Notamacropus eugenii: one gene and its partner. The protein of the gene in region 1 interacts with the protein of each later gene in a pairwise test. Links are inferred from orthologs where the notes say so. Each region holds a gene or a part of one and is shown on either strand. Other genes may lie near its edges. The genes, in order: EML1 and ISG20L2.

What was found.
Region 2: the proteins of EML1 (region 1) and ISG20L2 interact in binary tests that used the Homo sapiens proteins (3 or more experiments, as listed by UniProt). The two-hybrid records come from large-scale screens. The link is inferred for Notamacropus eugenii from reciprocal best matches to the Homo sapiens genes EML1 and ISG20L2.

What each region holds. Positions count from the first base shown.
Region 1 is NC_092872.1:355,787,548-355,791,459, forward strand, and holds the start of EML1 (echinoderm microtubule-associated protein-like 1), read right to left. Parts: upstream 2,849-3,912; 5' UTR 2,736-2,848; coding exon 2,669-2,735; intron 1-2,668. UniProt on the Homo sapiens protein: Modulates the assembly and organization of the microtubule cytoskeleton, and probably plays a role in regulating the orientation of the mitotic spindle and the orientation of the plane of cell division.
Region 2 is NC_092873.1:380,926,961-380,930,872, forward strand, and holds the start of ISG20L2 (interferon-stimulated 20 kDa exonuclease-like 2), read right to left. Parts: upstream 2,771-3,912; 5' UTR 2,646-2,770; intron 1,690-2,645; exon of another isoform or gene 1,568-1,689; 5' UTR 1,556-1,567; coding exon 887-1,555; intron 1-886. UniProt on the Homo sapiens protein: 3'-> 5'-exoribonuclease involved in ribosome biogenesis in the processing of the 12S pre-rRNA. Displays a strong specificity for a 3'-end containing a free hydroxyl group.

The DNA of each region.
Region 1 (3,912 bases):
GCACTTGAGTATCTACTTCACCATCAGGCTAATCAAGGGAACCTGTGTTCCAATACCAGATGACACTTCCTACCTATGTGATTCTGGACAAATGACAACCTCTCTGGGACTCAGTTTCATCTTCTGCAAAATGAAGAGGTTTTATCAAATGACCTCTGAAGTCCCTTCTAGCTCTTCTATCTCCATGATCCTAAGAATCAGAGTAAGTTAGATACTGTCAACTATTATTAACTTCCATCAAGAAGCTTAGATTTTTTAAGGTTGAAAACGCATAGAAATCTACTGCACTGGAATAAACACTGTTAGAACAAAATGAAAACCTATCTTCCATACATAGCAAATAGGAACTCCTTAAATCACATAGAAAGTAGCATGTTATTAATATGAAAAGGATGTACTAATAGCTTAGCACATTATGCAGCATATAGCCTTAGATGGAACTCTATGATCTCATTGGTATGGGGACTCTCTCACTACTAATCACAATTTTTGCACTTTTTTTATCTTGCGGAATTTCTGCAGATGTCTTTACATAAATACTCTATTAAAAGTCCACTTGATTTGCTGGAAATCTTTAATTTATTCTTTTACTACTTTGGAAGTAGTTCTAATGATACATCTTAAGTTTTACAAAAGTATTTTTCTCACACCTCACTGAAGCACTTGGTTTGCCCATTAGCTAACTATTTTTAAAAAAAGAAATCATAATGAATCTCCCTAGGATATGGAAGTCTGAACTTTAGATAAATATTATGTATATACTTATATGATTATATGTATACATATATTCATGAAGAAACAAAAAAATACTTGTTACTGTATCTAAAGATTAAATTATTATGATAGAGTTTATATACAGGTCAAAATTGAAAACAAATTACTTTATAACAAGAAAGTTCTCTCTCACTGAAACAAAAATAAAACAAATTAATCCAAGAAAGCTGGGATCTAGGCTTGTTTTCATTGCTCTACATATTCAAGTAAAATTTAGAGGATCATACTCACCAAAAACAAAAAAAAAACAAACACTTTGGAAAACATTTCTAAAGCAATAAATCAAATGTAGAAAATATGTATGAAACTTCTTTGTGTACAATTTTTCATACATCACGTTTCAGAGAAAATGCAGGATATTATGAACATATTTTTCATGCTTAAATTATGTTTCAAGAGTCTAGGATCACTTTTTAAAAACATACCCTGTCAATAAACTACAATTTTATTTTTCTTGCCCCTAAGAATCAAATAGAATCTAATGCACAAAAATCAGTTGAATACTTCTCTCGCATTAAAAAAAGTTTTTAATATAAACTCTAGACTTATTTAAGCGTTATTTCATGAAGAACAATGTAACTAAAGTAGGTTTGTTTGAAGTTTGGTTAGCAAGTTAATTCTTGTATTCATCTTTTGTTAATATTAAGTGATTTGTTTCTTTGCTCTTTTGCAACAGTAGTTGCCAAGAGAACCTACATAAAATACACAAAAAGCAACATATTTTGTTACAACAGTAACATTGTGTCTTGAACTTTCTCTTCTATTAATTTCCCCCCCTAATTTTCAAAGCACTATTTTAGCTTTCCCTTTGTGTCAATTACACTCTGAAAAGATTACTGCTAAGAAATCTGCCAGGACGTTGAGTTTCTATATTTTTTATTTTTATTTAAGTGTCAGTACCAAAAAGTCTTGGGATAAATATCGAAGAAATTTCAAAGAACAAAACTGGAAATCACTAGCAATTTATGCTTTTCTAAAAACGCACTAATGACACAACTGTGAGAGACTTCAGATAAGAATCTTCCCCCCTTATGAGACTGGATAAACTATACACGTGTCAAATGCACAAGATTTAGTGAGTGGGCAGTGGCTTTTACACGTCAGGGGGATAGAGTGGTTGGTTATTCAACAGGCCATGGAGGGACTTGGAGAGGATGTCATTCGCTCCATTTCATGCAGTTCGACACAACACCACAAATACACTCACCAGCGGTCACTTGTTGGGATGCTGGAAAGTCAAAGAGTTAACAGAAAATTCCGAATTTTTCCTGAAAACCCCAGAGCCAAATGCAACTTTTCCTTTTGGCAACAAACATTTCTTTTCCCACGGAAGTAAACTAAACTTTCCCTTGGACTTAACCGAGAAATGGGGAAGAAGTTTCTGCTTTTTCCCTGGGTGGGACAGGTTGGACTAAGAGAGCCACTCTGGACTGACTCCTCCGAGTCATCCAAGAAGCATGCCTCCCTTCCCCACTAACCTCCTTCAATGCCTCTTTTCCCTTTGCAGAGGAGCTAGTCTTGGAGCAGAAACAAGGGGAGGCAGCCGCCGCCACCACCACCACCACCACGGCCGCCGCCGCCGCCGCCGCCGCCGCAGCAGCAGCTTCCAAGCTCCTTTCTGCTTGCCTTCCCTCCCTCTTTTTTTTCTTCCAAGACCAGGTTTGCAGCCAGAATCCCCGAGAGATCTCTGTTCTCTCCCAGCTAGCGCCCCGCCGGGGGATACCGCAGCAGGAAGGGATGAATGGAGGGGGCGCGAGCTCTGCGAGGGATCTGGGGAAAGAGGCTCGCGAGGTGTGGAAGGGTGGGGAACGGGGGGAGCAGCAAAGAGAGACCCCCCCTCCCCGCGCGAGCTTGTATCCACAAACACAAACACACACGAGTCCCCTCTCCTTACCATTGCAGAACTGGAGCAGCGAGGAAGTGTCATAAAGGCTGCTGTAACTAGAAAATCCGTCCTCCATCCTGCAGCCGCGGCAGCTCCCGATTTACCCGGTCTCAGCGGCGGCTCCGAAGCCGAGCCTTGGCCGCCGCCGCCGCCGCTGCTGCTCTCGCCGCTTCTCACCCACACACTGAGCTCTAGGGCTGGGGCTGGGGCCGGCCCTGCTGTGGCGGCTGCTGCTGCCGGTTACCATGGCAACCTCCTTCACCCCGCCGGCGCCGCCGCCGCCGCGCGCTCTCCCAGGGCAGCTGCGGCCGCTCGCCCGCCCGCCCGCCTCGTGAACGAGGAAGGCGACCAAGGCCGGCCCGAGCTGGGGAAAGACAGACTCTGCCCGGGAGGGGGCGGACTTGGGGTGGCCGGGAGAGGGAGGGGGAAATAGGCGGCGAGAAGGAACGGGCATGTGTGGGGCGAGGAGCCGGCGCGGGAGAGGGGCGCTCTTTCTCCAGAGGGAAGGGGGGGCCCGAATGACCTCCTGGCCGCCCCCTCCTTGGGCGCGGCAGGTACCGACGGGGCCTAAGAACCAGCAGCGCCGAGGCGCGGGCCTCCCCTCCCCTCTCCCTGTATAACGGCCCCAGGCCGATCGCGCGCTGGGGAATCTCTCGCGTGAAGTAGCGGCCTCCGCCTGGCCGACCCGGGCGAGGGATGGAAATGGCGGCTGGGAGCAGGAATGAGCTTTTTTCCCCCCTTTTTGGGGGAATGTGTGTGTGTGTGTGCGCGTGTAGAGAGAACAAAGGAAAGGGGCTGAAGACACCCTCAGTAGTTGTAAGAGGATTGGAGGAGCTGCCTGAGAGAAGGCGGCCAGACCAAGGGCGGACGGGCAGGAACGAGCAGGCGCTGGGCCTGGGCGCCAAGGGCCCGAGCCTAGGGGCTCGCGCGGGGCCCCCGAGCGGAGGGAGGGGGCCCCCGGGACCGTCAGGGACGCACGTGCCCATCCGCGGGCGAGGCCCCCCGGCAGCAGGGGGCGGGGCCCAGGGGCCACCCGGGGCCGGCCCTCCCCTTCCCACAAAAATACTTTGTTTAAAAAACCCAAATCCCGGAGAGCATCAGTCCGGGCCCGGGGGCCATTCTTATCGTGTCCAGCACCAAACATGGACACACGTAGACGCCTCCTATGATGCTTTTTCCACGAGTTTAGCCCAACTTTAGTCTTGGCCAAGTCCTCCGGTTTTGTTCGAGGCTGCCTGCTCGCAAAGCACGGC
Region 2 (3,912 bases), on another chromosome or scaffold:
GCCAGGAAGCACAAACCCCACACTCTGTGAAGAGGATGCTGAACTAAGAGTTAGGATAAGGCAAAAAGTAAATAGGGCATAATGGTATGAATCCTGGACTGTAAGTCCTAGTTTTGTGTTCCAGCTCTATTTTTGTCATGAATAACTGACTTTACTTTTTCTGAACCTCCATTTCCTCATCTGTAAAATAATGGTGCTAGACTAGATGCTTACTAAGTTTTCTATCCAGTTCTGACATTCCTGTATGACATCAAGCCAAGTGATGCCAGCCACTGAGCACTTGGAAAATGCATACATTCATCTTCCTCCAAAGGTACTCTTAGATCCCTCCTTTGTGTGATAGGGAAAAGCAATCCAAGGCCTGAGTGCAGTGATGGGACTAAGACAGGATCACTCAGGAGCATCTCATCACCCAATTCTGCATTCTGACTGAGTAGTCACAGGACTGCCAAAAGAGCATGTAGGAACATTTCATCACCTAAACTCTGCATTATTACTCCTTTCATCATTTGTCCCCTTTTCCAAACCTATTCTGCATTTTTCTCCTAGCCCAGGAGGCCTTCCCAAATTAACATCTTTCCTTCCCCCATAATATCTATACAACTTGATCCTATGCTCCGGTCTCTGTCCAAATCTTGGTGAGAAATGGGTGAGTAGGGTTACCCTGTCTTAGGAACCCATTTCCAGAACAAGGCTCTGTGCTCAGTATATAGTGCTAACCAAGATACTACCTCCTCTCTCACTCCCCACCACCTTTCACCAAAGCCCAGTCCCTTCCTATCTAGAAGTCTTCCAAATCTCTGTCAAGCCTTTTCCCTGATTGTTTCCTTTTAAGAGAAAGACCCCAAGCATCCTAACCCCCCACCCTTTTCCCCACTCCCATCACCTCTTTCCGGGCCGCCTTGAAAGGGGTGGCATTAACCATATGCTCCTTCTTGATACCGCTCCACTTGGTCCGGTAGTCCACAATTTTGCAGGGAGGACGAATGTATTCATCATATAGCACGTCACCACTGTAACTTACAATGCTACATCGGGCCAAAGAACTGGTATGGCCTTTAGGCCCTGTGCCCACCATCTCACAATCAAGAGCCACCATCTTCTTGTTGCAGCCCTTCTCTGGTGCAGGCGGGAGGGTTCGGGCAGGGGGGAGGGGGGAGAGGCCACTCTGGAATTCTGACAGGAGATCTACCTTAGATGATATAGATACTGAACTGGTCTTCCGTGAAGGAGCAGGTGTCAACCAAGACACTGTTGATACCTTCCTACTCAAGGGCTTTTCAATTCCATTTTTCTGATTCGGTGTCTCCTCTATAGGTTCAGGGAGGGGGTGGAGTTTCTGTTTACTATTTGTGCTAAGGGTCCCCCCATTATTTTGAAGTTTAGAATGCCCTGAGCCCGAAGGCCTGGCAGGGACCTGCATCTGTTTCTGCTTAAGGTTCCTCTGTATCCGCCGTTGTCGTTGGATGAAACGCTGGTGCCTGTGGTTCCCTTCAGTTGCCTTCTTTGGGGGAGGACAGTCCCCAAAGTCCAAGTTGAGAATCAGGGTAGACATTGTCAAGAAGGGCTGGAGAGAAGAATGACCAGGAGGGATCTCGCTTCAGAGAGTGGCTTCTAAAAACAGGGAAGTTTGGGGACTTATTCCTGGCCAAAGGCCAGAGACTCACATCTTGAGGTGTGTAGCATACCCTATGGAAAGAAGAGTGACCAAGCTGACCCCAGTCTGAGGGTCCAATAGATGGACTCTTTATAAGCTTCAGCATAACCTTAGATATCTGGAAAAATACCCAACCTGAAAGGTTTTAAGATAGGGACTAGAGAAATCACTTTAAAAGCCAGAGTGTTTGGAGGGAGTGAGAGTAGGGGAAAAGAACTTAGTCAAAAGAGAAAGGATGAATGAGATGTTGAGAGGCAGCATGATACAGATGAAAAGATTTAGAAAGAACATGTAGGTTTCAATCCTGTTCGTGGTAAGTCAGTTTCCTTGGGAAACTGAAGCACTCAGGCTGAATGGAAGTGATCTGCCTAACGTCCTGCAATTAGAAAGCGGTTACAACCCACACTGTTCAAGGTCCCGACACCTTCCGAAAAATGTGAGTTGTAATACTTGCTACCTTTATTATTACCACGGGCAATGTCAGTCAACCAAAGCGTCCATGGCCTATCCCCTTCAAGCTTAAACCCTAGAAAATGGATCTGCTCTCTCCCCTTGTCAGTCCCCTACCCGAATCCTCCAGGTTCTTCCTGCTCCCCCCTTTCAGCATCTAATGTACCCGGAAGCTTCGGGCCCGGTGTCCACCTCCCCTTCTCTGTGCCTCAGTTTCCCCATTTCTAGACTCGGAAGGTTGCACTAGATGCTCTCTAAGACGCCTGTGGCTTTCAATCCCGTGATTACGAACACTGTCCTGGCCAGCAGAGGCAGGCCTCTGTCTGACCCGGGATGCGGATGAATGAACAAGAGGGGAAATCGAGGCTGAGGCAGGAGAAGCTGCTGCAGGATGGCATCACTCCCCAGGGGACGGTGGGAATCCGGGGCTCGAGAGCCTTCCGGCCAGGGGGTACGGCCCCACCCCGATCTAGTCCCAACACGGCCCGAGAAACCCCCGGCCGGGCGCCGGGCGAACACCCCATCGCGTTACACTCACCTCCTCTGGCGGCCCCCGTAGAGGCCGGAAGCGACCGGAGGCGGAAGTGGAGATGAGACCGCGCCTGCGCGGCTGCGGGCGACAAACACGCGGGGGAACGCGTGGAGGTATGTAACGGGAACGCGCCTGGGGCCCCTCGGGCACCCCGGCGACCCCCACCCCGAGCAGTGAGGAGAGCGACTCCGACTGGGGAAAAGGGAGCGGAAGCGGAAAGGAGGGTGGGGATAGGGTCGGTGGGGGCGGGGGCGGCACGCGCTCCCCGGCCCCTCGGGCCCCGTGGAAGTCCAACTCGGAAGGTAAGGTCGGGGACTGAGGGGAGTGGGGCCGGGGGGCGCCGTGGGGTCGGGCCTCACTTCCGGGAGGAGGGCGGGCAGGGCGGAGCCTGGGCTGGTTAGGGTAGTCTTTTCCTTTGCCCTCATCCCTGCCGGGGCCCGAAGGCTCCGCCCCACACCGCCCAGCGCGTGACGTACCCGGCGTTACTGCTCTGTGACGTCTCTACGTTCCCACGCTATCTCCTCCCCCTTTTCTCAGCACGTGTCTGCGCTCTGTGACTTGAGTACGCCTCACTGTCTAGGTGGTCGCGGGCAGCCAGCGCCCCTCTTCTTCCCCATCTGCTTTCTAGGTTGTTTTTAGTCAGGCAGTCTGTGAACATTTCCTAAATGCCCACTATGTGCCAGTCACTGTGCCAAACGCAGGGAATGCAGAAAGGAACAAAAGATAGACCTTGTCCCCGAGGAACTTAGCTGTAAGGACAGACTACATGCAAACGTGTGTGTATGTGTGTGTGTATATATATATATATATATATATATATATATATATATATATATATATATATATACACATATATACACACACACAGCAGGCCATATACAGGATAAATAAATAATCAATGAACATGAAGCATCTACTGTGAGCCAGTCATTGTGCCAAGTGTTGGGAATACAAAAAGGGGCAAAAGACGGCCCCTTCCCTCTGGGAACTTAAAATTAAGTGCCTGCTCTGCCGATCACTGTGCTAAATTGGGGGAAGGGAGAGGGAGGATACAAGAAAGACAATTCTTGACGTCAAGGAACCTACAGTCTAATGGGGGAGACAACATGTAAACAAATGTACACAAAGCAAGCCATATCCAGGATAAATAGTGTTGACCTGAAAACTTTGTTAAGAAAAGGTAACAAACTAAATGCATACGTTCTATGATTTAATTAATTAATTGATCAATTTCCTATTAAAGACAACAGTAACATAATGCATTATGGAGCCA